4 linked regions of the Nothobranchius furzeri genome follow. The protein of the gene in region 4 interacts with the protein of the main gene of each other region in a pairwise test. Links are inferred from orthologs where the notes say so. Each region holds a gene or a part of one and is shown on either strand. Other genes may lie near its edges.

What was found.
Region 1: the proteins of kelch-like protein 12 (region 4) and segment polarity protein dishevelled homolog DVL-3 interact in binary tests that used the Homo sapiens proteins (3 or more experiments, as listed by UniProt). The two-hybrid records come from large-scale screens. The link is inferred for Nothobranchius furzeri from reciprocal best matches to the Homo sapiens genes KLHL12 and DVL3.
Region 2: the proteins of kelch-like protein 12 (region 4) and ttbk2a interact in binary tests that used the Homo sapiens proteins (3 or more experiments, as listed by UniProt). The two-hybrid records come from large-scale screens. The link is inferred for Nothobranchius furzeri from reciprocal best matches to the Homo sapiens genes KLHL12 and TTBK2.
Region 3: the proteins of kelch-like protein 12 (region 4) and pdgfrb interact in binary tests that used the Homo sapiens proteins (3 or more experiments, as listed by UniProt). The two-hybrid records come from large-scale screens. The link is inferred for Nothobranchius furzeri from reciprocal best matches to the Homo sapiens genes KLHL12 and PDGFRB.

Annotation. Positions count from the first base shown.
Region 1 is NC_091751.1:58,279,696-58,285,702, forward strand, and holds part of segment polarity protein dishevelled homolog DVL-3, read right to left. Parts: intron 5,991-6,007; coding exon 5,914-5,990; intron 5,816-5,913; coding exon 5,748-5,815; intron 5,600-5,747; coding exon 5,450-5,599; intron 1,587-5,449; coding exon 1,455-1,586; intron 1,101-1,454; coding exon 933-1,100; intron 839-932; coding exon 638-838; intron 1-637. UniProt on the Homo sapiens protein: Involved in the signal transduction pathway mediated by multiple Wnt genes.
Region 2 is NC_091758.1:23,509,259-23,515,556, forward strand, and holds the end of ttbk2a (tau-tubulin kinase 2), read right to left. Parts: coding exon 6,283-6,298; intron 6,102-6,282; coding exon 5,944-6,101; intron 5,822-5,943; coding exon 5,614-5,821; intron 5,531-5,613; coding exon 5,307-5,530; intron 5,215-5,306; coding exon 4,674-5,214; intron 3,980-4,673; coding exon 3,662-3,979; intron 2,941-3,661; coding exon 1,982-2,940; intron 1,884-1,981; coding exon 1,430-1,883; 3' UTR 1,282-1,429; downstream 1-1,281.
Region 3 is NC_091741.1:96,091,475-96,097,481, forward strand, and holds part of pdgfrb (platelet-derived growth factor receptor beta), read right to left. Parts: intron 5,719-6,007; coding exon 5,624-5,718; intron 5,532-5,623; coding exon 5,399-5,531; intron 4,341-5,398; coding exon 4,236-4,340; intron 3,989-4,235; coding exon 3,878-3,988; intron 2,080-3,877; coding exon 1,923-2,079; intron 1,701-1,922; coding exon 1,534-1,700; intron 654-1,533; coding exon 541-653; intron 426-540; coding exon 303-425; intron 207-302; coding exon 95-206; intron 1-94. UniProt on the Homo sapiens protein: Tyrosine-protein kinase that acts as a cell-surface receptor for homodimeric PDGFB and PDGFD and for heterodimers formed by PDGFA and PDGFB, and plays an essential role in the regulation of embryonic development, cell proliferation, survival, differentiation, chemotaxis and migration.
Region 4 is NC_091755.1:52,044,569-52,051,050, reverse strand, and holds the start of kelch-like protein 12, read left to right. Parts: upstream 1-2,448; 5' UTR 2,449-2,524; exon of another isoform or gene 2,525-2,594; 5' UTR 2,595-2,676; coding exon 2,677-2,734; intron 2,735-3,200; coding exon 3,201-3,427; intron 3,428-6,482. Other genes in the region: ptpn1 (tyrosine-protein phosphatase non-receptor type 1), read right to left, coding at 1-15, 531-587. UniProt on the Homo sapiens protein: Substrate-specific adapter of a BCR (BTB-CUL3-RBX1) E3 ubiquitin ligase complex that acts as a negative regulator of Wnt signaling pathway and ER-Golgi transport.

The sequences.
Region 1 (6,007 bases), on a different chromosome or scaffold from region 4:
ATTGTAATTTATTTTCCACTAAATTTTGCACAAGATAGTCAACATCCACAAAAATGAAGACAGCACAAACGAGATAGTGTGTTAGTGGGTCCAGCTGTTGTTGGTCAGTAAATAACTCAGCAGAATAAGCAGACTGTGTTTCCCCTCACACACACTAAATACACACAAGCCTAGCTTTTAAAAGCAGCAGCTTGGGGTTGTGGAAGAAGCCTTTCCCCCTTACCGACTGAACTGAACTCCATTTTGAAGTACACTTTTGCAGCTATCTGTCGGGGCTGCAGCTTTAGGGTTAAGCTATTCAAGTGAAATGAAGAAACCAATAAAAATGTTGGCTATGTGCTGGGAAAGGCTCCAGAGTCCGACTGTTAAAGAAAAAATGTGGCACACGCTGTTCTGTTTACTGGATAAAACAGCAGAACTTAGAGAACGTTTTTCAGGTTTGCTCCTGAGAACACGACTCACTGCCGCCTCCAGCAGCAGCATTACCCTCTTGTGCGTTAAGACAATAAAGTATCATTATTTGCATTTGCTTATTAGACAACTTTAGTGAGGATAAAATAAACAGATAATAATCTAACTGTTCGTTGGGTAAACATAGCTTTCCTGAGTTTACACAATAGTCTGAAGCCAGACTCACCACTGTGCTGGCTTCCTGTGCTGCCAGCGCCCGGACCACCAAACGGCTGTGGCAGGTCATAGGGATGTGGAATAGGAAACTGATACGGCAGTGCCATTGGCCAAGGAGCTGCTCCAGGATGGGGCAGCGGGGGGACAGTGTCCTGGTCTGAGGCACCCCCACTTGAGCCGTCATGGTCATGTAGGGACAGGTGGGTCATATCTGAAGAAAACAAACACATAAATTAGATTATGACCTTTAGATTGACCACATTTAGTTCGTACATAAAAAAAACTACATTTCAAAGTCCACTCACTGCCACAGAGGTCTCCAAACACATAGTAGCACTGTTCAGAAAAGGTGATCTTGTTGACTGTGTGTCGAATGTAGCCGACTTTCAGCAGGTTGCTGGCGTATTTTCGTGCTTCCCGGCGATCTGAGAACCCTTCCACGTGGTGGAAGAGCCAGTCCACCACATCAGAACCTGAGGAGGCAGAATAGAGAATTTATTTTCTGACATTTGACTGCTAGCTGTTACATGACGTTATAAAACCTGTGATGAACAACAAACACTGAAAAAATATGTCAGAACATCGCACGTCCCACCAGCCGCCCAAACGCTTCAACAGAGCAGCGACTCTCGTTGCATGTAATGTAATTACTACTACTGCAAAAGCATGCGTCTTCTGTGCTTTGGAATGAGCTTCTCTCACTGTTAAGCAGTCTCCATCACTCACCGTCTTTTAAAACCAACACTTGGATTTAACACTGGTTTGTATTTTAGAATAATAATTCACGTGTTGTGACAGAGTCCAAAAGGGTGGTCTTATAAACATACCAATAAAGGCATTAGCGATGGTTATCTTCAGCCACATCCTGTCCCGCACCTCCAGGCCCGACTCAGGACAGGCCATGGCCTTAGCAACCGTTGCCATGTCGCTGTGGATGGAGAGGTGGAAGTCATCGAACCCTAGAAGACAGACGAGGACACACAAATATGTAGTTTTAAAGGGATACTTTGCAACTTTTTCATAATTTTAAATCATTTTCTTGAGCCAGTATGACCCTTTACAAAGTCAACAGCAATTTGAACTGATCCAACAACACAGATGCTTTGTATAAGAAGGGCCAAGTTCATGGTTTTTTAGTGGTCAAAGGTTACAATAATAGCTTACAGCTTATCTGTATGTGCATGTACATTTGTTATTATTTTTCTTCAAATTATTCTCTTAAGTGTTGGTGTTGCTGTAGCAAGAGAATGTCCCCAGTGTGGGATCAATAAAGTCTATTTTATTCTATTAGTGAAAGGCCTCTATCACCACCTGTGGCCAGAATATTCCACTTGCAACTTCAGACTGGCGGGCTGCTCTGTTGGGACTTAGTCTGGTTCTAGAATGTTTCCTGCATGTTTTGCTCAACTCAACTTTATTTATAAATCGCGCCTTACAGGCAAAAACATGCCACCAAGGTGCTACACAGACCAAGTAAAAACATAAAACATTAGGTCCAGAAAATAAAAACATTGGATCACACGATACAGACAAACAACACAGTGAATGTGTGGGATCACTTTAAGTCAAACAATAAAAACTAGTTAGAAAGATTAAAAGACAGATCATAAAAGTAGGTTTTTAGCCTTGCCTTAAAAACCGTCACAGAGGTGGAGGCCCTTATGCTAAGAGGAAGCTCGTTCCAACGCTTAGGACCTGCCACAGCAAAGGCCCTATCACCACGCGTCTTTAGGCGTGACCTTGGGACCGAGAGGAGCATGAGGTTCTCCGAGCAGAGTGACCGTGCAAGGGTGTACGGTTGAAGCAGTGACACCAAGTAAGGAGGGGCCTAACCATCTGACGTTTTAAAAACCAGCAAAAGTAACTTAAAACGAATCCTTACATCAACGGGCAGCCAATGAAGCGCAGCCAGGACAGGAGTAATGGGGTCATACTTGCGCCTGCCCTCAAAACCTGGCAGCAGCATTCTGCACTATTTGCAACCTGGCTATTGAGCCCTTGTTACAGTAGTCCAATCACACCGTAATAAAAGCATGGGCTACCGTCTCAAGATCATGTCGTGACAAGAAAGGTTTGATCTTTGTCAGCCGACGAAGGTGGAAAAAGGAGGAGGAGAGCACTCCATTGATGTGGGTATCAAAACTAAGGGCGCTATCTAGTTTAACACCAAGATTAGTCACTGATGCACTCAGCTGGCCATTAAATGACCCACAGTCAGTTAGGGAAGAGTCACAATGTCTGCTTGGAGCAAACAATATAGCCTCTGTTTTCTGATCATTTAAGCTCAGAAAATTTCCACTCATCCAGGCCTTGATCTCCCTCAAACAGTTCGTAAGAATAGAAATAGAGAGACCACTTGACGTGTTCAGAGGCAGGTACAGCTGACCATCGTCAGCATAAAGGTGGAAGTGAACTCCAAGCTCACTACAGATGTCACCTAAGTGCAGAATGTAAGTAGAAAACAACAAAGGTCCCAATATCAAGCCCTGTGGTATACCCCCCAGGGTAAATCAGAGTACTTTGAGGAATAACTTCCCATCCTTACACACATCTTTCTATTTGTCAGGTATGATCTGAACCACTCCAGGGCTAACCCAGAAATCCCGACATAATGGAGACGGTGAAGCAGCGCTTCATGGTCCATCGTGTCAAAGGCTGCCGTGAGGTCCAACAGAAGCAACAACACAGAATTACCGCTATCAGTAGCTAGATAAATGTCATTGAGCACTCTATCCAGTGCAGTCTCAGTGCTGTGTAGAGCTCTGAAGCCAGACTGGAAAGCCTCAAAAATGCCATTCTCATCCATAAAAACCAAGAGCTGGTGGTAAACACATTTCTCTAGTGCCTTACTTAAGAATGGAAGTTTAGAAATGGGCCTGTAGTTTGCAGACAGTGAAGCATCCAGTCCAGGCTTTTTGAGCAAAGGTTGAACAACCGCCTTTTTAAAATCACCAGAGACTACGCCAGAGCTTAGGCTCATGTTAATTATGTGCAATATTAGAGGGGTGACTACTGGAAAGACTTCTTTAACCCTCCCACTGTCCTACTGGGTGTGACCCCATGAGGAAAGCTGACCATTGAGCAGGGTTGATGGCTCATCCCTTGGGTCCATGTGGCAGGGGTGAGGAATGAGCACCGCCTCACCCCTGCCACGTGGGCCTCAAGGGATAAACCATCAATCCTGCTCAATGGTCAACTTTCCTCGCGGGGTCACCCATAAAGACGGTGGGAGGGTTAAAGAGGCGCGCAGGCATCACGTCACCTGGCAAGCCGCTCGGCTTAGCCTCCCCAACAATCTTGATCAAGTCATCTAAACTAATTGGTTGAAATGCTATCAAACCTCTGATAGTATCGCAGAAGGGCTTTCCCCATAAAAAAGTCAAAGAACTCATCACACATTTTAGCTGAAGCCTGCACCAAATGGTGATCAATCACTTTCAAAACTGAGTTAATTGCGGTATAAAGTACTCTAGGGTTATTTGAGTTTAAGGAAGTGAGAATGGAACAGATCTAACTGCCTCCTGGTAAGATTTGCAACTGTCACGTAGAGCAATTAGGGAAACATGCAGATTGTCCTTCTTCCACTGATCATGAGCACAGCTGATTTGTTTAATTTAGTGATGAATCACTCCTGTAGACACTAACAGGCTAGGGAGATGTTTCAGCTTTTATTAGATTAAGGTGTAAAAAAGACTCTAACCCAACACACAGCGAGGAGATAGGTTTTGCTTTTGGTTCTACAATTGGACACTAGAGGGTGCTAAAAGCAAGCCAAAACTGCCTTGTTCTCCTTTAGAGGTCTGAGATTTTACTTACTAAAAAATGCGGATGTGTTCGGAATTTGCCTAAAAAGATATCTGACTTATTTTGTTTCACCAAAAATGTGAGACATAGCTTAGCCTTGTCCATGAAAAGCACTTGGACCGGACCAAAACTTTGCTCGTTTTCACAGAAAATGCAGCAGCTTTAAAACAGCCAGACCATGGAATATTAAACCTCCCCACAACGGTGATTCCCAGCTGGGAGTCCACACCCCTGTAACAAAGTGCCAAAAGCAACAGGAAGCATGCCAGGGTTTCACTGCACCGGGGTTGTGAAAATACATTTTGCACATGCACAAATAATAAATCTATTACACGAATCCAAATGCTGCACAGAGATCAGTAATAATGCATTTTCTGTAGTTTTACACACAAGTGGCTGCACGGTTTACACTGACTGAAACAAAACCCAACTGTGCATCTTATGACGGCTGAAGCTAGTTTTACTTTTCTGCAGCCGCATGTGAAATATAACCCACAAAAATGAACCAGATTCATGACAAAACAACGAGAATGATTTTTACAGGTCTTATCAAGTCAAGTGTGATTCTATTTAACCCAAATATTCAGGAACATAGAAATGAAGGAAGGAAACATTTTTCTCGACAAATGAAGCTAAAACATCCCAGTCGTTTCCAAAGATTACAGAGAAGATTAAACTTGTGAGTTATGGCTCCGCTTAGACCGGGAGTTATCCAGCAGATGGAAGCCGTGAGGCTCCCAAATGGAACAGAGACGAGTCACAGGAATGTGGTTTAAGGGCGAGGCCACACTAACAAACATGTCTGAGGAGAATCGGAGTATTAATAAAAGACTGATCGTGAAAACGTTTAGTTGGTGCACCTTTCACAGCAGTGCAAACAGTCAGATAAACAAACAAATGACAACAAATAAGAAAATGTGCTTAAACTACCGAGGAGCGAGCGATGACAGTTGATTTGAATAACAGTGCCTCAATAACAAGCCACAACAGGCAGCTGCAGGGGGACGACATGACTCACGTTCAGTCTCGGGGATAGAGCTGCTAATGGAGGAGCTGGTGGAGGTGACGGTGCTCATGGAAGGGCTCATCCCGTAAGCAGGGTAAACCCCGGTCATAGCGGCGGTGTGGGACACCCATGCAGCCGGGTCGATGGGCCGGATGGGCTCACCTGGTCAGTGTAAGGAAAGCAGACGGAGTGACATTAAAGTAAAACTAGAAATGAAATCAATCCGTCATTTAGATTTATGAGCACTCCAGCATTTTCACAGAGAACACATGTAAAAAAGAAAAAAGAAAAACCAGAAACAAGTACTCACTCCTGGGCAGAGCAAAGCAGCTCCGAGGGTTTGGGTCCCAGCACTTTGCAACAGTCAAGGTGATGGGGCTGCAATAAACAGCAACATCACCAAGACTCAGACGTGTGTTTTGTGGGTCTAACTATAGAATGTTGTGTGTGTGTGTGTGTGTGTGTGTGTGACGGACCCTGGCTTGTGCACGATGTCCCTCAGTACTCGGACTGCGTCGTCGTTACTCATATTCTCAAAGTTTATGTCGTTCACCTTCAAGCGGGAGAGAA
Region 2 (6,298 bases), on a different chromosome or scaffold from region 4:
GTCACACTGAGCACTCCCTTTAATTAAACACTGAAAGCTGCTCTGAGGGACGCCAGATCACACACTGAAGAAGCAGGAGCCAGAAGCATAGCAAACAAAGCATCTAAATAATTACCTTTAAAAAACGATTAATTTAGCAGAGATAAAAACCCCATACCCTGCTCGCACCCTCCTAAATGAGAGGAGATAATGTAGTCAACATTGTGAACATTATTTCACTGAGCTGGAATCGGAAATTCCCAAGTGCATTTATAGTAGGGCTAAAAAATTAAGATTACTATGGGTTTATGTGTCCAATGGTGCAATCAGTTGCTTTTTAGGTGTAATATTTCTGCCTGCAACATGAAAAAAAATCACTTTTACTCATTTTTTCTTGTGTCTACACCGGAGGTGTCAAACTCATTTTAGCTCAGGGGCCACATTGAGGGAAATCTAGTCCCAAGTGGGCCGGACCGGTAAATTAAAAACAACTTCAGATTGTTTTCTTTGTTTTAATACAATCAATATAAAACAAAGCTGGAGCCTGAGGACAGTGTATCCAAAATAGTACAAGTACAACTCCTGAAGTGTACTTGAAATTTAAAAAAATAAAAAATCTATAAATTAAAAAAAAACATTCCTTAGTGATTCAAAGAGCTTACAGATCACATGGCTAGATCAGTTTCATGCATCACTTAAAGTATATTTGACTCATTTTACTTTACATCTTTTAGCTTTCACCAGCACATCAATATTAGAAGTCACATCCTGAGTGGCAGCCAACTTCAGGATGTGATTCAAGTTCTTGTGTGAGCCTTGAGCACAGCTTTGTTTTATTTATACTCATTACAGAGGAAACTTGCTCACAATGATAAGTTTATTTTCACTCTACATTGTAAAGTATGAAAATAAAGTTTACACAACCATCCCGTGGGCCGGATTTAACCCGCTTGCGGGCCGGATCCGGCCCGCGGGCCGTATGTTTGACACCCCTGGTCTACACAGTGAGAGATATTCCATGAGGATGTCGAAAAGGCCACATTGCCTGCCTGATAAATTATTATAATGGCTGAAGTGTCTAATTTTACCCATAAGGCTCAGTTTGTTTATCCAGCATCCTCATACAAACTGTGAAGAAATGAAATTCTTTTTTTTTTTTCACGAGAAAGTGAATAAAACTCAAATTCAAATTTGGAGCTTGTTTTACTTTAAATTTTGTGTTTGCACAACTTTAATCAGCTGAATTAATAATAATAATAAATAAAAAAAATAAAACCCTTTGTGCAAATGAAAAACAAAGAGAATATTAGGAAGAGTTTCTGCCAGCGAAGGGAACCTAATTATTTCTCTACTAGAACAGGAAGACTCGGGCCTTATCTTTTCTGTTGTCTATTCTATCATCTCTGGAACCTCCCTCTCCTCTGCTGCTGCACCACAGCCTGGTGGGCAGCTATCTGCTCAGCTTGCTGGAGCACTTGCCCTCTCGGCTGCAGCCCTTTCCCCTGGACAGGTGGAGGGGACCTGTACGAGCCTGTCGGCTGCAGCACGTCTCCTGGTGGTGGAGGTAGAAACGGCGGGGAGGAGGGGAGCCAGAGAAGCTGGGAGGTGAGTGGCTGCGGCCCAAGCAAATCCCTCCCCCGCCACCGCGGTGCTCGAGGCGGGAGGGCGAGGAGCTGACGGAGCGTTGCAAAGAGGAGGAGCTGCGTGGCGAGGCGCTGGAGCTGCGGTGGTGATGATGATGTGGAGAGCTCGCCAGGCTGCAGACACCCATCCTGGAGCTGCCGTGCTGCACAGAGGAACGATGGTGAAGGGAGGAGCTGCGGGAGCCTTGCATCAGCTGTGTGAGGCATGACAGCAGGTCTGAGTCACTGTTGCTGCCAGCACGGATGCGGTAACGCCTGAGCCTACATGTGCGCAAAACAAACAGCAGATTGGTTACTGGATTCAACAGAACTATATTCCTGTAACCCAAAAAGGGACGAGTTGAGCCGTAATGTGTTACCTGCCCTCCACTGTGGAACGACTCGGGGGTTTTCCGGGGGGTGGGCGTGGCAGGAACTGGGCCGTCAGCTGCTCTGCAGAGGGGGCAGAATGAACCGGTCGAGGGATCCTGCTCTTGCGAGACAGAGGACTGGAGGAGGAGGACAGAGATGGAGCCTCATCTCCCTGGCGGTCAGAACGGGAGCCTATGAGAGAGTCCTCATCCTGTGAGCGGTCAGAAGTGGAGGACGGTGGATCTCTAATGAGAGAGGCAACAATGGGGCCTCGCCTATCAGAGAGGGAGGGAGAGGCAGTGGGAGAAGGAACTGAGCCATGGTGGCTAGCTCTTTTCTGCAAGAGTTTCTCCTTGGCAGAGCCTGGAGGAGGGAGCTCCAGCAGGCAGGAGGGCTCAAGAACGGGAATCCGGCTTTGTCTCCGGCTGGGATCTTTACGGGAAGCAATGGGAGAAGAGCTTGGAGCTGGGTCACCAGTCTGCTGTGGGGCCAGATTCCCTTCTCCACCCTTTACCTCCTTCATCTGAGGCTCTGTGGCACATGGAGAGGGGCTAGAATCATTGTCCGGGTCTTTTAGCTTCTGGAGAGCGGTGTTAGTTTGGCTGTTAACGGGAGATGAGAGACGACCACTGGTGAGCACGGGGCTGCGGGGAGAGTGTGGAGAGGAGGGTGAGCGTAGAGGAAGCGAGTGCACTGAACGGGGAGAGCGTGGTGATGATGCGCGGCTTGGCACAGGGCTTTGAGCTTTGGTGTGGCTGTCTCTGTTAACTAGAGTCTCAGCCAGGGGGTCGGTTGGTGTCCCCGGGCGGGTGGGCACATGGTCCTGGGGGGAACTGGTGTCTGCTGTGTGCTCTTTGATCTGTTGAGCCACAGTTTCAGCTTCACCACGCCTCTCCAGCAGGAGGCACTGTGGAGCGCTGTCTGATGCTGATTGAGAGGACAGCCCAGAGGGACGCTGAGCCGTCAGCTGTAGGAAAGGAGAGGTGGACAGGAAGAGAAAGACAAGCGGATGTTAGTCCAACAAAACCAACACTAAATCTGGGAGTAAAATTCCTAGAATTAAAAGGTCTGTTGCTGGGAGACCACAGCATGTGGAGTTGTGCTGTAGATCAGCAGCAAGAGCCAGATGCAGATGTGTAAACAGAGAGGAATTTGATTGTATGTGGTAATAAATGGTGATTAGTTTGGCGACAGCATGCAGTAACCATAGCTACCATTATCAGACCAAAACACACAAGTGCTATGGCAGTGTCAGTCAAGCTGTGAGTACTAAACCAGCGGGTAGGACAGGAAACGATCACGCAACTTCGCAGGGGGCTTCAGCGAAGAGAGGGTGAGGAACAAATACAGGGAGAGAGAGAGGAAGAGGAAGATAGAGAGGACAAAGACGATCTGAAACAAAAGAGACCATGCAACCTGTAGTCATGACTGGACATTCCAAATACACATGCCACAATCAGACAAAAGACACACCCCTAATCACATGACAGGAACACAAGGACACGTCTGACCCATGCTCTGTCTGGCCTGCACAATGTACTTCATGGTTTTGGGAGAGAGCTGCCTGACAGCAACGCAACAACCAAACAAAAGAGCTAAACCAGGAAAGCAAGAAAAGCAACTAAAAAAAAAGAAAAGAAGAAGCTTAATGCAGGTTTCATTTCGTGGGATTGCTTTCAACTCATCACCTGCTGAAGCTGGGCGCGAGTGATGCGAATGACTGAGGGGAACTTTGTGTTGGCAGCACCAGCAGGGATGGCCGGCAGTTTCCTGCGGCCGGGCGAGCAAGTGCCTGGGGAAGGGTTGGGTGGTGGAGAAAGGGACGGGCGTTCCCGCTGCTGCTGGTGGTCGGCCGACTGGCTGCGCCTCAAGCCTGCAGGCTGGCGCTGGTGCAGTGGGTCCGACAGGGTGGTGAGGAGGGTGTGAGGACTGGGAGAGCGCAGAGGGATAGGGCTGGACGTCCGTACCACGACCTCCTCAGGCAGAGATGGAGGAGAGGTGGGGAACTAGGAGAAGGGTAGGAGAAGAAGTGGGAGAAAGAGAGAGGAGGGGTTGTGAGACCGGTGAGGGTGTGCTAAAATGGAGTTGGAGGAACTGTGAATAAAAAACTGTGTTGCTCTTGCTAGAATTGTGATGGTACATGGAGATCTTGGATGTCTGGGAAGGCTCCTTTTATTTATTGAAGAATGTGATGGGGGACAATTAGTGCTAAAAGTGACTAAATCTATAGATTGATCAGAAACCTTGAACTGGACAAGCGAGAATACTTAAAAAAAAAAGAGCAAAGGAGCAACGTAAGCTCAGCAAACCAAAATCTGATTTTGAAATCAAGTAGTGACGTGAAATAAAATAAACACAAATGTCTGCAAAGGAACTATGCATAACTTCTAACACAAATGAAGCTGGACTTTAAAGCCAAAAGCTCTCTTTTCCCATGTTGTAATTGAACTGAAAAGCCTTTAGGTTGTGTCATTTCATTGTGCTAACAACTAGTGAAGAAGCAGGCAAACACAAAGCAGTAACATTTACCTTCAAACTACAGCAAGATGCAGCTGGTGGAACTCGGATTGTTTATGATCAAAGCATTGAAGTTCTAGATCTAGAACTCTGACTCTGTGCAGCTTTTTATCTTTATAAAATGCTGACTACAGTCATTATGTTTGCCATGTTGTGGGATGGTCTTCAACACGTGCAGCTTACCTGAGTAAGTATTCCCTCAGCCAGAGCTTCAGCTGGGCTGGTTGGAGTGATAGGTGGCAGAGCACCTACAGGACCCACACTGAGCTCTAATTTGTCCATTTTTGCACTTCCCTTAGAGGACGCCATGCTTTCCTGCTTAGCTTTCCCAGAACCCGGGCTTGGGGAACCCTTTTCCCATCCAGGTGTGTCTTCCTCTGGCTGTAGCACTTCAGGCTCCTCATCCTCCTCTGAAGGGCTGGTTGGAGCTTTGGCTCCAGGTGAGCCGCTGGGCCGCTCCACCATTACCCACTCCCTTGAGTCAACGTCCTGCCTCCCAGAGCTCAAATTAAGGGCCACGAAGCCCCCGCTGCTAGCTGCCCCCGCTCCCTGCTCAAAAGACCCTGGTGATGCTGGCTTTGGAGAAGCATCTCCAGACCGGAACTCCTCATCATAGTGCCAGACCCTGTCTGATTGCTCTCCAGGCACAGCTTGACCCTGAGTTCCTGGGGTAACACCAGCCTCCTTCTCCTGATGCTGGGGGCCAAACTGTTGTTTCCCTGAACTGGAGAAAACAGATGGAACAATCAACAATGGAAAACTCCAAGGAGGAATCAAGGTGTTCATGCGCATACGCTGAAGGTTGGACAAACATACCAGGCATCCGGGAAACGCTCTGAGCTGGGCTTAGAATCCAGGCCCAGCCTCCTCTCTAGCTCCAAACTATGGATATTGCGGAGCTTCCTCATTAAAGGCCCATCACGATCTCCAGGGGCCACCTCTGAGTGCAGTTTGACAGGAGAGCCCAGACTTGGTCCTGCATAAGGACTCTGGTGTCCATGATTACCCTGGTTGTTGCAGTGATCGTCCTCTGTTCCCGTCTGTGGAAGCAAGAACGTTTTGAGTCTAATGACTTCAACCCCAGAAGCCATTTTCTCAATCAAACTCTACAGAGGGAGTGTACCTTCCAGGCGGCCGTCCTGACTCTGTTGCGGTTGCGATCCAGCTCTTCCCAGACGTCAGGCTCCTGGTTGCGATGCTGGGGGAGGGGACAGCACGGCGCTCGCTCTAGAGCAACGTTGTTCTCCACATCGCTGAGCTGCTCGTCTTGCAGGACCTCATCTGTATTCTCCCTCAGCAGGTCACCGGGGATCAAAGAGGCATTCGCCATGCTGCGTCCACAAAAAATGTACACTATATTCAAGGCTGCAAAACGAAAACCAGAGCACAGCAGCAGGCAGAGATACTCTAGCATTCAATAAAAGAAATGATGATTGCTGTGTGTGCATTGTACCCCATTTGTGCAGGAGTGAGTCGAGTGTGGTGTTGGGGCGTCGTGGCGCTGACACTGATTGTCGGAGTGCCATCTGTGGTGGTTCGCTCCCAATCATAGGGGTCATTTTCAACAACATTATAGGTTTTCATGCTGTTGTCAAACACTGACATCAGCAGCTGTAGCAGAACGCAAAAATACTTTTTCTGAATTTTAAACCAGGACAAGTCCACAGGAATTACCAGAAAATTAACAGTTTTAAAATGTCTGTTTTCATGCAAGAGAAGTAAAGCTACACCATATCATTACAAATGAAGGCAATAACTTTCTATTTAACATGTTTTTAGACCGCTGTGTCACCTGGTAGTCAGGTTTG
Region 3 (6,007 bases), on a different chromosome or scaffold from region 4:
TTAGAGAGGGCAGATCACCTACATCACCTCTGCTTATGCCTTTTATTTGCAGATGTGTCTGACTTTTCTGCTTCGGTGTGCTGCTCAGACTGACCCAGTGTGAAGATTTCCCAAAGCAGAATGCCGTATGACCACACGTCGCTGAGGGTGGTGTACAAATTATGGAAAATACTCTCTGGTGCCATCCACTTCAGAGGCAGGAAGGTCTGAATCAGGAGAGAAACACACCAAACAGTCCTTTAGGTCCTGTTTGACCCTGAGTCTTTTTATCCAGATACAGAATAACATCATTTATTACTCACGCTGCCTTTGGAGATGTAGTTGGAGTCATGCATGATGTCTCTGGCCAGGCCAAAGTCACAAATCTTCACCAGCTTTCCTTCACAGATCAAAACATTCCTGGCAGCCAGATCTCGATGAACACACTGTCAAGGAAATATCCAGTTAATTAAACCTGATAAACAAAAGAAAGATTTATAATTCCTACTGGATACTGTGTGAGGTAGCTACACATCTGGAGCGTTGTCTTAAAGTTCTTACATTCTTGGAGGCCAGGAACTCCATTCCCTTTGCCACCTGGTAGCTGAAGCCCAGGAGGTCATCATAGGAGAGGCTGGGAGAGTCACTGATCACCAGGTCCAGTCTGGTTCCACCTGAACCAGGACCCAAAGAGGAGAAATTCAAAGACAGTTCCAAAATAAAATTATTATAAAGCAACACATTCTGTGAAAAAGTTCAGTGAACAAGAGTAAAATAAATACGGAAGATTTTTCATATTCTTTTCTTCTCAAAGCTATTGCTAGAAATCTTGGTGCAATTTTCCATTCTGCATTTTTAGATTAGCTAATTTTTGCAAATAAAGGGCATCTAATTAAAGTTTATTAGATCAGATTCAGACAGTAATTAGGTCTACTAATGCGTCTGATTTGATTACTAGATGTCTCCGTGCTGCTCTTGGTCTGACCTGACCTGACCTCGTCTTTTGTGGCAGTTTAGCTTCCAATTTATGATTTTATTGGTTTATTTAAATAGTCGTAAACACACGGCACCATTCCACTTGTCAGACCCTTTACACTCCACTGATCTCTACAGCTCTCTGACATCTCAAGGTCCAGACTTAAAAACATAGAAGTGAAAGAAACATTTGGATGTTGGGCCCTGATCTGAGCAGCTCACACTGAATCTTACATTTCAGCTGGAAACCCACTGGTTTTCATTGACTCTGACACGTGGTTTACTTTGCTTTTGTTCAGGGAACTCATTTGATGTCCTAGCTAACAAAACTATTAATATTTTATTAGCAAATCTCTGAATTGAAACCATCCGTTTTCATTCCCAATTGTTTTCTCTTAGTGTGCAGAATTAGTAGGTTTAGTCAGACAAAGCTAAATGGTTACTGTGCTAAATCACATCATCATTTCACACTTTTCGATCTAATGTTTGGTTTTTCTCATTATTCCTCATTTTGCAAATCTGCAAAATCCTCACATGCCAATAATCCTAACGGATTTCTCTGACAGCGTCAAGTCGAACCTTGTTGCTGATAGAAGTCCTGCTGGTAGGGCGATTCGTACGGGGATGGCTGGATGTCCGCATATTTGATGGAGTCTAATTGTTCCTGCATGGGCACGTAGACCAAAGGCTCGTCTTTGCTCATGTCCATGTATCCTCCATCACTCTCACTTCCAAAGGACACATAGCTGCAAAAATACGTTAAAGTGTGAAAATAATAATCAAAAAACACCCGACTGACCCAGATCCAAACGAGCCTTTTGTAGTTGCTGATCACATGAAGCATCTGTAACAATCAGTTAAACAGAACTTTTTGAAAACAAAGGCAAAGATTTCTCGGAAAAAGTCCTCCATTTTCTATAAAATGTTCCTTTGTGCAGCTCTGAATGCATTTTCCTCACTCATCTCACCCTTTTCTCTGACTGAGAGGGGTGCTTCCTCTTGATATGAGGCAACCATCCTCCTGGTTCTTTTCAGCGTAGTACTGCAAGAAGGTGTGCTTGTTCCTGTGCAGGTAGTCCACCAGGTCACCATAGCGACAGTACTCGGTAATCAGGTAAAGGGGGCCTAAATCAAACATGAAGGATAAGGATTTAAAGACAAGCTAAATGTTGCAAATACTGTTAATCTCTGGAAATATCCCTCAAAATGTTGTTGAAAATGAATTAAATGACGCCCGACTGTTGAAAAATATTGGCGGCTTTGTAACATATAATCATAAAAATCTGGTCTAAAATACACGAGAGCGGGTCTAAGTCTCTGGGCGACACCATAATAGGTGCCATGTTTCCTTCTACGGGAGCCTGTGAGGACAAAATGCATTTACTGATTTGTATCAAGCGGTTACAAATCTTTCACCATTCATAAACATTGTTGTTTTACACCTTAACCCTCTGGAGGCAGGCGTTGCAGATTTGCAACGTTAAAACCTACCTACCTGGTTACTCCACATATGTATTTAATGAGCATTTTTAAACTCAGAAGTACCCCCGAGGGACTTAGTTGTTTGTCCTTTTATCAAAACGTATTTTGAGCCTGAAAGGGTTAACTCTTCATTGTTGCCAGTGATGAAAGGGAGTTTGATGTTCTTGTTATTTTGCTGGAGGTTGAGCTCCCAGGGATTTTTGACCCTAATGGCCATCCGTTGGTAAGGTCTTACTCAAACACAAAAATACTGCTTGCTTGCAGTAATTTAGGTATGTACTGCCCTCTATCAAAAGGGGAAATACACACTGTCACTTTAAAAACATAACATGCACATATGGAAATTTTATTTTTAATATAGTTTTCTGACAAAAAATCATTAACTCTACCCCCTACAGGGAGAACTGCCTTGTGAGTTCTTATCTGTGGAAAAAAGTTCTGGCACTCCTGTTTCAGGAAGCAGAGCCAGAAGAAAGGGGGGCAGAAAACAGTAATATTTGGAGTCTTACTCATTATTATTCATGATATTGAAATATCTCACCTCTGATTGGCTAACAGCAATGCAACTCTTCCACTGACTCTGCTCGCTTTGCAAAGTTATGTTTAATCTCCGTAAAAAACACAAGCCTGAAGGAGTTCTGCTGTGTTGGGGAGTTGCTAATGCTAACGGTTAGCAAGTAACGGTCTCATGGAATGAGTTATGAAGGAATGATTGTTCCTTCTTGGCAGAGGTGAGGATGTTATAGAATTAGGGAAAGTCTGGTTGGGGTCTCAACAGGAGCTGATCATTAATGTATGAAAAGGGTTCAGTAATTCCATCAGCTACTTTATGGAGGGCAAGATGTGCCCTGCTAATCGGATCCAACAATCTTTCTTCCTAAGCTACAAATTAATGAGCCAAAACATTTGATTTGGCTGTAACATTTCACTTAGGAGTGCTGTGCTTACCGTTAGTATAATGAAACATAAATCAGTGAGTTCACATTGGCTGTGTTAACATGGTGTCCAGTGTTAAAACATCAACATTTCTATTATTTTTATAATTTCATCTCTGTAACACGGTTGTTTCCATTTCTTACAAGAAATCATAACTTTCTTGTTTACACAATTATTCACTTAGTGCAAATACGATCAATGCGGTTTAATCAGATGAGAAGAAAATGTGCCGGAAAAGTCATCTTTAACCAGTTATCAATCAAATTTAGTGGATTTTTCATCCAAATGTAACAGAAATATTTATCATTTCAACCTACTGAACAAACAGGAAAATGCAGAAATAATTGCTACAGAGTAATCTTTGCTGTAATTTTTAATATATATTTTTACGTGAACCACGTGTGTGTGTGTGTGTGTGTGTGTGTGTGTGTGTGTGTGTGTGTGTGTGTGTGTGTGTGTGTGTGTGTGTGTGTGTGTTGGTGGGAAAGCTTCGTGTGATGCCCACCGTGTTTGGTGCACGCCCCCAGCAGGTTGACGATGTTGAGGTGAGGACCGAGGTGACTCATGATCTTCAGCTCTGACATCAGAGCCTGAGTCTCACTCCTCCTGGCTGTAGCTGGACGAGGGCAGAGGAAAGAACACGTGTTAACCTGAACGTGATGTGAGAACAGCAACACGAGTACAGCGAGCAGGAGAAAAACGGTGTTCCTGCCAGAAAACGTCAAAAGAAACTTGAATCAGGCTGTCAGACCAGCTGAAGCTCAGCAGGCTGCTGCTGGGAGACAGTGTCAGAGAGCGTGCAGGAGGCTGCTGTTGCCTGATATCTTGCATGTGAAGCTTTTATTGTACATTGTGTTTCTTACATTTCAGCATTTTCACAGCCACCTTTGTGCTGGACTGGGAATGTGTGAGACCGTATGCAGTAGCCTCGACCACCCTGCCAAAAGCTCCTGATCCAAGAGTTCGACCTGAAACACAAAGAGGGCCTCAGTGGGACACGGTGTGAAATCTGAGAAAGAAGCAAACACTTCTCCCCATTAGAACATAAGTGAGAGGGATTCGACTTATTATTTTGAAGGACACTAATATAAAAACTTGCTTTGGCAGATTCAGAAAATAAATATGTCAAGAGCTTCGAGACAGTTTGTATGAGAGAAAATAACAAAACGCATGAAAAGGAGCTTTTAGCTAAACTGGGACTGAGTCCAGTTTAAAAAGTATTCATTAGGGATTCCGTGTGCAGACAACCAACCACTCGCAGTACAAAAGCCTCATGGGGATGGATCCAGTTTAAACAGTTTGTCCTCATCTGGGTGACGGATAAGAGCCTGCTCAGAGTCAGACACTCAGAAATAAACCACAACTGATCGATTATAGGAACCATCGACCCTTTACCCAATAACATGGTAGAGCACACTGCGGTATAATAATAATAATAATAATAATAATAATAATAATAATAATAATAATAATAATAATAATAATAATAATAATAATAATAATAATAATTGTAAGGTCATTTTGTATTGAATAATAAAAAAAATAAAAAAGGCAGCTTCTAAGAAGAGATTATTTCTGCTGATCATGGGTCATAAATATCCTGTAACTGCCATAGCTATGATCAGATTAGTCAGCATCAATAGGCCTTTTCTTTAAATAAACCACAGCTGTAACAAGTGTGGAAGCTGGGTAAAAGCAACAAGAATTCAGAGGATGGTCATTTTCCTTCCACTTTATAAAAATGAAGAGTTCATTTGCAAAAACAGATCCTGTTTTTATAACATTTTCAAAGATCGTATCTTTCTATTATCATTTAAAACAAAGTTATTTTTAATTAAAAATGGCGTGAATCAGTTTTTCACATGTAGGAAATAAAGTTTAAGCATTATTTTTGGTTAAAATGTAAAAAAAAAACAACTAAACATTTTCTTTAACTTTGTGCCTTTGTGATTTGTTTATTTTCTGTTTTCTTAACATTAAAATAAACACAAACAGGTCTTTCCAACTCCTGGTACATCACACTCACCCAGGACCAGGTTGTCTCTGGGCATCTCCCAGGCCAGGTCGTAGGGCAGGTGGATGGGATCCACGTAGATGTACTCATGTCCGTCCACACTCACGGACTCAATCACCTTCCATCGGATCTCATAGCGTGGTTTCTGTTAGCACGGGTGAAGAGGACAACAAGGAGCCATGAGGAAGAAGGAATAATTTTGATCTGTTTGTTTTTATGTGATGAGGAGTGTCTTACCTTCCTCCACACGGCGACGAGGATGATGATGGACAAGATAATGATTACCACTAAGGCTAAAACAGCAGCCAACACTGCCACCTGGGAGAACAAGGCTGCCACAGACACCAGAGACAGAAAAGATCACTACATTTGAAAAACTTTATGTTTGTGCATCAGTCAGCTCTGCATCCGTCTGTCTGTGGTTTACGGAGAATTAACCAATTAAGGGGGTCAAAAACTATTAACCAAATGTAAACACAAGATTACACATTTTCTTTAAAACGTAGCTGATCTGATATCTGTGGTACAAACATGATAGCCTTTATATATATTGTACATAGACAGATTTTACTGACAAAAACGTATCTGAAGATGGAAAGTTTTAGCCCAACATCAAAGAGT
Region 4 (6,482 bases):
CTGCTGGCGAATCTCCTGAGACAAAATAAAATTTACCAAATAAATTTTAGCAGATTTAGGTTTCACACACTGTGAAAGTGGATCTGAGTGCATGTAGGCCTTACTTCCTAAATTTAATTCTTTAGAAAAACAGAAGAAAAAAAGAGTCTAGACATCACACTATTAACACTGTTAATGCAGGTAAACATGTACACACACTTAAAATTATCATAATAAAGTAGTTACTCATGAGTAGTGATTAAACAGCATTTTAAAACGTGATTAACGTTTTAATGGACACTTGATAAAGGTTTATTAAAGTCAGAACAGATCCGGGCCACTCCTGGGTCCTAGCGAGTGTTGCAGGTATTATACCCGGACAGACACATCAGAACAAGGCTGTACACACCCAGAAAAGTCCCGGTGACTAATAAAAACATTGATTATTATTAATACCTTATATATCTGCTGACTCGTTGTGAGCAGGCCTAAAATGACAGCTTCACCTACGGTTCGTGTCTCCACCTTGATGATCAGCCGATAGTTCCTACCTGGTAAATGGCGCTCCACCTCTCGTTCTCATCGATTTCCAAGAACTCGGCTTCCATTGCTTCCAGTTCAGCTGCCACTCTTTCTTTACGCCCAGCCCAAAACGAAGAACCACAGCTTCCCGGTAATTAAAGAATTAGTAGTGAATCGGTTTCCGGTAGTAGCTGCCCAATCTTCGGCCGCTGTTAGCTCGCATTCAGTGCGGCTGCTTAGATCGCCATCTCGGCCTACTCTTAACGGAAACACGCCGCTAGCTCCTCCTACACGGTGTAGCTGTCGTCCTTGGGTGGCTAAAAAGAGCACAATGTGTTTTGTTTTGTTTTAATTTGCTGCTGTGAGATATCTGTGTAGGATTCACAGCACTTCTTCAAGTCTGGAAAGTAAGTCTGTTGACACAGAATCGTCATCTCACCATTTCTGAAACAGCAGCGACCAACAGGCGAGGACGCGCGGGAGGCATCATATTTCTGGGAAAAAAACGCGTCTCGCTCTTTGGGGAGCGCGCACGCACACTCACGCACTGTGTACGTCATCGCCCCGGCTGCCGGTGAATTTGGCAAGCTGTTTTAACATTTAATATAATTACATTTAAAAAGTAATTTGAACGTCAGTGTAAATATTTCTGTCAAAATGACAATCTGAATTATAAAATCAAAACCAATGATAACCAAAACTGTCACAATATTAAAATTGTGTCTCAAGTTTTCCATAACTGAGACTTTGTCAGGGAAAACAAACTTTTGAAGCAAATTATGTCAGCTTTCCATTAATTTATATTAGGTTATCCCCTTCAGATGTGGCAAACATATCTGTCCATGTCTTTGTCTAGTTCATATTTCCACTGCACAAGTGAGTTGACATTTGAGTTCATCTTTTTAAATGGCACTTTGGTCACAAATAGCATTTTACTTCTACACTGTGCATAGAAATGAGTAACATGTCATAACATTTGACATTGTTTTATTAAATTGTTCTGCATTTCTACTGCATTACTGTTCTTTTTAACACAGCAAGTGTTATTTTACCTTGTTTTTGCATCAGGTAACAACATCGAGTAACAACATCAGGTAATAACATCAAGTAACAACATCAAGTAACTACACCATATAACAACATCCGGTAACAACATCGGGTAACAACATCAGGTAACAACATTAAGTAACAACATCAAATAATAACATCATGTAACAACATCTGGTAACAACATAATGTAACATCATCATGTAACAACATCTGGTAACAACATCAGGTAACATCATCATGTAACAATATCAAGTAACAACATCAGGTAACAACATAATGTAACATCATCATGTAACAACATCAAGTAACAACATCAGGTAACAACATAATGTAACATCATCAGGTAACAACATCAAATAACATCACGTAACATCATGTAACATCATCAGGTACCAGCATCAGGTAACATCAGGTGACATTAAGTAACAACATTATACAACATCTTGTAACAACATCAGGTAACAACATTATGTACTATCATCATGCAATAACATCAGGTACCAACATCAAGTAACATCATGTAACAAAATCAAGTAACAACATCATGTCTGAACATCAGGTAACAACGTCATGTAACAACATATAGTCATGTAACAACATATACTACAACAGCAACAACAACCACAGACTAAAGGCTATTCATTTTACTACGAACAAGTGAATTCTGGATTTTTGTTTGAAAGTTCGTGTCCAACTATTATATGATACATCTGCTTGCCAACTATGTTGTTGGTGGCGCTACTGTGACCCACTGCAGTTTAGTCAACGTTAAATTGTTGGTGTTCAAAGATCGTTCTGGGACATAATATGAGATAATTTTGATATTTTGAACAGACCCGTCCCCGCGGAGGCCGTGTGTTGGTGTGACCTGACGGAGGTCATGATGGATTAGGGCGGTTTGAACTGAGACTTTGGTGCTGCTACAGTTAGTTAGCAAAACAACTTAGCTAGACGTTTTGACTCTGCCCTGCAGGTATAATGCAAATTCTTGCCAAGTTCTTGTGTGTGTGTCGCTTCTTGTTTTGTCTCCCTCTGGCCTACAGGCCGCTTTTGTAGCTGCTGTTTTCTGAAGTTGTGTGGCGTTGGCGTTAGCCGTCAGCTGTTGTTCAGTGCTGCTTTTAGCTCATGTGTAGCTATAGTTATTGCCTCCCAGTGGTGGAAAAAGTGTTAGGATCTTTTCACGGTAAGTTTCATCACCACGATCAAATAAAAATCCTGGTTCTAACTAAATGTACTTGTAGTTTCAAACATGGGTTTTTGTTTGACAAATACGTTTGTTTTATTCTTTTTTTTTTTGTCTGGTTTTAATCAACATATCAGCTTTTAAATACCTAAGGATGGATAATACCTGTTTGTGGACTCTTCCACTGACAGATGTGACATTATTTGATGTCTTTCCTTGTTTTTTTCTTCCAAAACAAAACAACAAACCAATACACACACATCTAATGATTTCTACAGATTCATCAAAAATGTTTTTTCAGTAGTCATGATGGTTCCTGAATAATCTTTAACTAATGAGCCAATGCTAAAGTTTTTATTATTATTATTAATCCAATAATCCGGTGCTTCCTGTCTCTGTTCCTGTTCCCAGATGGCATTGTGGTCTGCAAGAATTCCGTTTATTTGTCTTGATGTATTTATTTTAGGTTCCTGTGGGAGTTTGAGATCTATGACGGATCCTCCAAACAGCATGGCTCCCAAAGACATCATGACAAATTCCCATGCTAAATCCATCCTCAATGCAATGAATTCACTCCGCAAGAGTAACACACTCTGCGACATCACTCTGAGGGTGGACAACGCGGATTTTCCTGCTCACCGGATCGTCTTGGCTGCTTGCAGCGACTACTTTTGTGCCATGTTCACCAGTGAGGTAGAACTTTCTTTTCAGGACTAAAATGTACAAAACAGTTTTTTTTTTAAATATTCACAATTTGGGGGCATTTCCCCTGTTTGGGTTAACTATTACTTGTAACTTAAATGGATGTGTGTGGATTTTATACTGGATGTACAACAAATTTTTCAAATCATTTGATGGGAAATAAAAAGAAAACCTAAATTTATTTTAGGAAGAGGTTCTGTTAAGTACAGTTGTATTGTAGGAACACATGAGTTCATCCCAACATTTGAGACTTTATTTAATATTTACATAATATTAGTTTTACTTCCAACATGCTTCATAAGTAAGAGATGCTGCAGAACAGCACCCTCAGCATCCATGTGTTATTCTGACATGAGATCTTTCAAATCCAACAGATCTTTTTACTTAGTGAGTAAATAACAGAAGTCTACATTTTACCGTTGTGTGTGAGCCAAACAAAACAAAACTTCGGACGTTTGGAAGCCGCACAATGACAGGCCTACAAATATGGTTTCATTTGCAGGTCTTTTAATAATGGTTTATTTTGTTATTTAATGCTTTCACTGGGGATAAAGCTTGTTTTGTTGCTATAACAGGCTGAAATATGTAGACATTTTGACCTGGAACAGCTTGCTCCAATGTGTTAAGACAGTTATTTCTAACTCACAACCAGAGAGGGCTACTTCATCAGAAATCAGGTCAGTCTTGCTTGCAACTGATTCAAAAGTAAACAGCACATCAATAAGTTTTAATCATCCAAGAGTCACAGCAATGCTACTAAATGAAGAAAACGGGCGTAACACAGGAATTTCTCCCATTTTCATCGTATTCATCTTATCTGGAGAAAACAAAGCTTACGTTCTTTAGATAATAAGTTGTTGTCATCATTAGAAAATGAGCACAGCACTTTTTCAGATAACTGAACAGTCGACTCTTGATCTGAAGGAAATCCCATCAGACCTAAAAATAGCTGCTATCTGCTTCCATGCTAAGTGTTTAACTTTTCATGAAGCTGCATTTGCAACCATTGCATCTAACTGAATGAAAACACTGTTTGCTGCTCCATTTATAAACGTTTTTACCAGCTGATGTTAATAGATTCTGTTTTACTTGGATCCATCTCTTAGTTAACAAGATACTTTAATTATTCTGCTCCAACCTGGAGGGAGTGTTTCACCTTTATACGGTTGAGAACAATGACATCGGTCTTAGAGGAGCTGATTCTCATCCCAGCCCTCGGCCCCCAGCTGTGAAGCATGCTAGTGCACGCTAAAGATCATAGCCTGAAGATGCTAACAGAACCACATCATCTGCTGTCACCTAAAGCAGAGATGAGACCCAAACCACTCGACTGCGATGTGAGCTTCCGTTCATGAAGATTGCTGACAGGATCAGACACCAGTCCTGGTGGAGTCTAGCTACTCAGGCAGCGAGTCTTTATCATGCTGCATCATCAGAGATCCTGCTGCAGGGTGTCATTCAGGACGTGCCTTTTATTGGCAGGTTTGATAACTTGTTTTCAGAGCTGTCAGCTTGTGGGTGGATTGTTCAGACTAACACTGGACCTAAAAATCCCTCCTAGACACATTTGAACATACTAACTGTTGCAGGATGGATCTCTCCTCAGAGACAGTGTTTGTTTAACGGAAACCCTTTTGCCCCTCTAAATGCCGATATAATTACAGGGCATAAATATCCTTGTAAGGGAACAAAATCAGAAAAATGCATCTGGAGTTTTTTTTCTCTCTTTTCTACCTTAGAGCAGGGACTCCCTAAGTGTGGTGCGCGAGCTGCCGCTAGGGGGTGCGCGAGGTGAAAAGTGTAATGGCTGCGGAGCTCAGAGAAGTCTGTCATATGTCACCATTAGCGTAGCCAGAAACTCCTTTGTGGGTGGGCCCAATAAATGTAATTGGAAAACAAGTATATTTTGCTTGTGTGTGTGTGTGTGTCCTCCGCATGTGCCCTAGCTTCATAATAATGCGCCGAGTTTCAGCGCTCTGGCTTGCGCACGCTGTCAACAGCAGGATATGTTCAGTATTTGATCATTTTTAACGGTGTTGGAGGAATCTGAAGGTGGTGAGTCATTCTGGCAGATTGTAATTAACACCTGTCTCATGCAGGTGTTCTGAAGTTGTAAACCTCACACACACACAGAACATTGTAGATGTAACAGAATAAATCAAGAAATGATTCCCATCTGAGCATTTTAGCATTATTATATTATTATATTAGCACACTGACTGTGGGACAGCATTCTAAATGTGTCAGGCTGTTAACAGCACGCTGAAGGTCTGAAGTTCAGAGTGCGTCTGTCAGAGGTCAGACGCGTTCCAGCGGAACCACGGCTCACGGGTGCACATGTGAGCACATCTGGGCTGGGCAGAAGTAATTTTACAACATTGGTTTGAATAGCACCAATAACGAGACGCGGTGACTGGAGCGGCGCATGGAGCTGTGCCGCACGCGCGCGCACACACACACACACACACACACTGATTCAACAAGCGCACGCTGCGCTGTGCCGTCAGACTGAACGCAGAAATGAGCGCTGCCACTTCCGTGATAAAAAAAACTTTTAAGAGGTTTTATAACAACATTTTTCATTCAAGGTCATATTAGCTTCCATTTTGGGATGACGTATTAAAGTCGAGTCCGCTCCAGCCAGTGACTCTTCATGAACCTGACCACAACACCCGTTACTGCAGCATTTGTTATTCCAGTCCACTTGGCAGCGAATCGCAGATTCAGCCACCATAAAACAGCAATAAGTCTGTCTGAGGCAAAAGTGAACCTCATGGCTATAGCTTTTCCATCTTTTCCCATATAGACATTTGATTACGCACAAGTAGGTGGCCAGTTCAGGTTTACGCAGAGCAGAAGGAAGGAGAGAGCTCTGGTTAAACAGTCCTGCTTTAAGAAAACCATTAAATTGCATTGTTTATGTGCTACCTGGGCACTCTAAATATTGATTTAAAATTAAATATAAGGAAATTGTAATGGTATTGAATGTTTATTAATTACTATTTCAAAAATACATAATACATAAACATAAAAATGAAAGTGATGG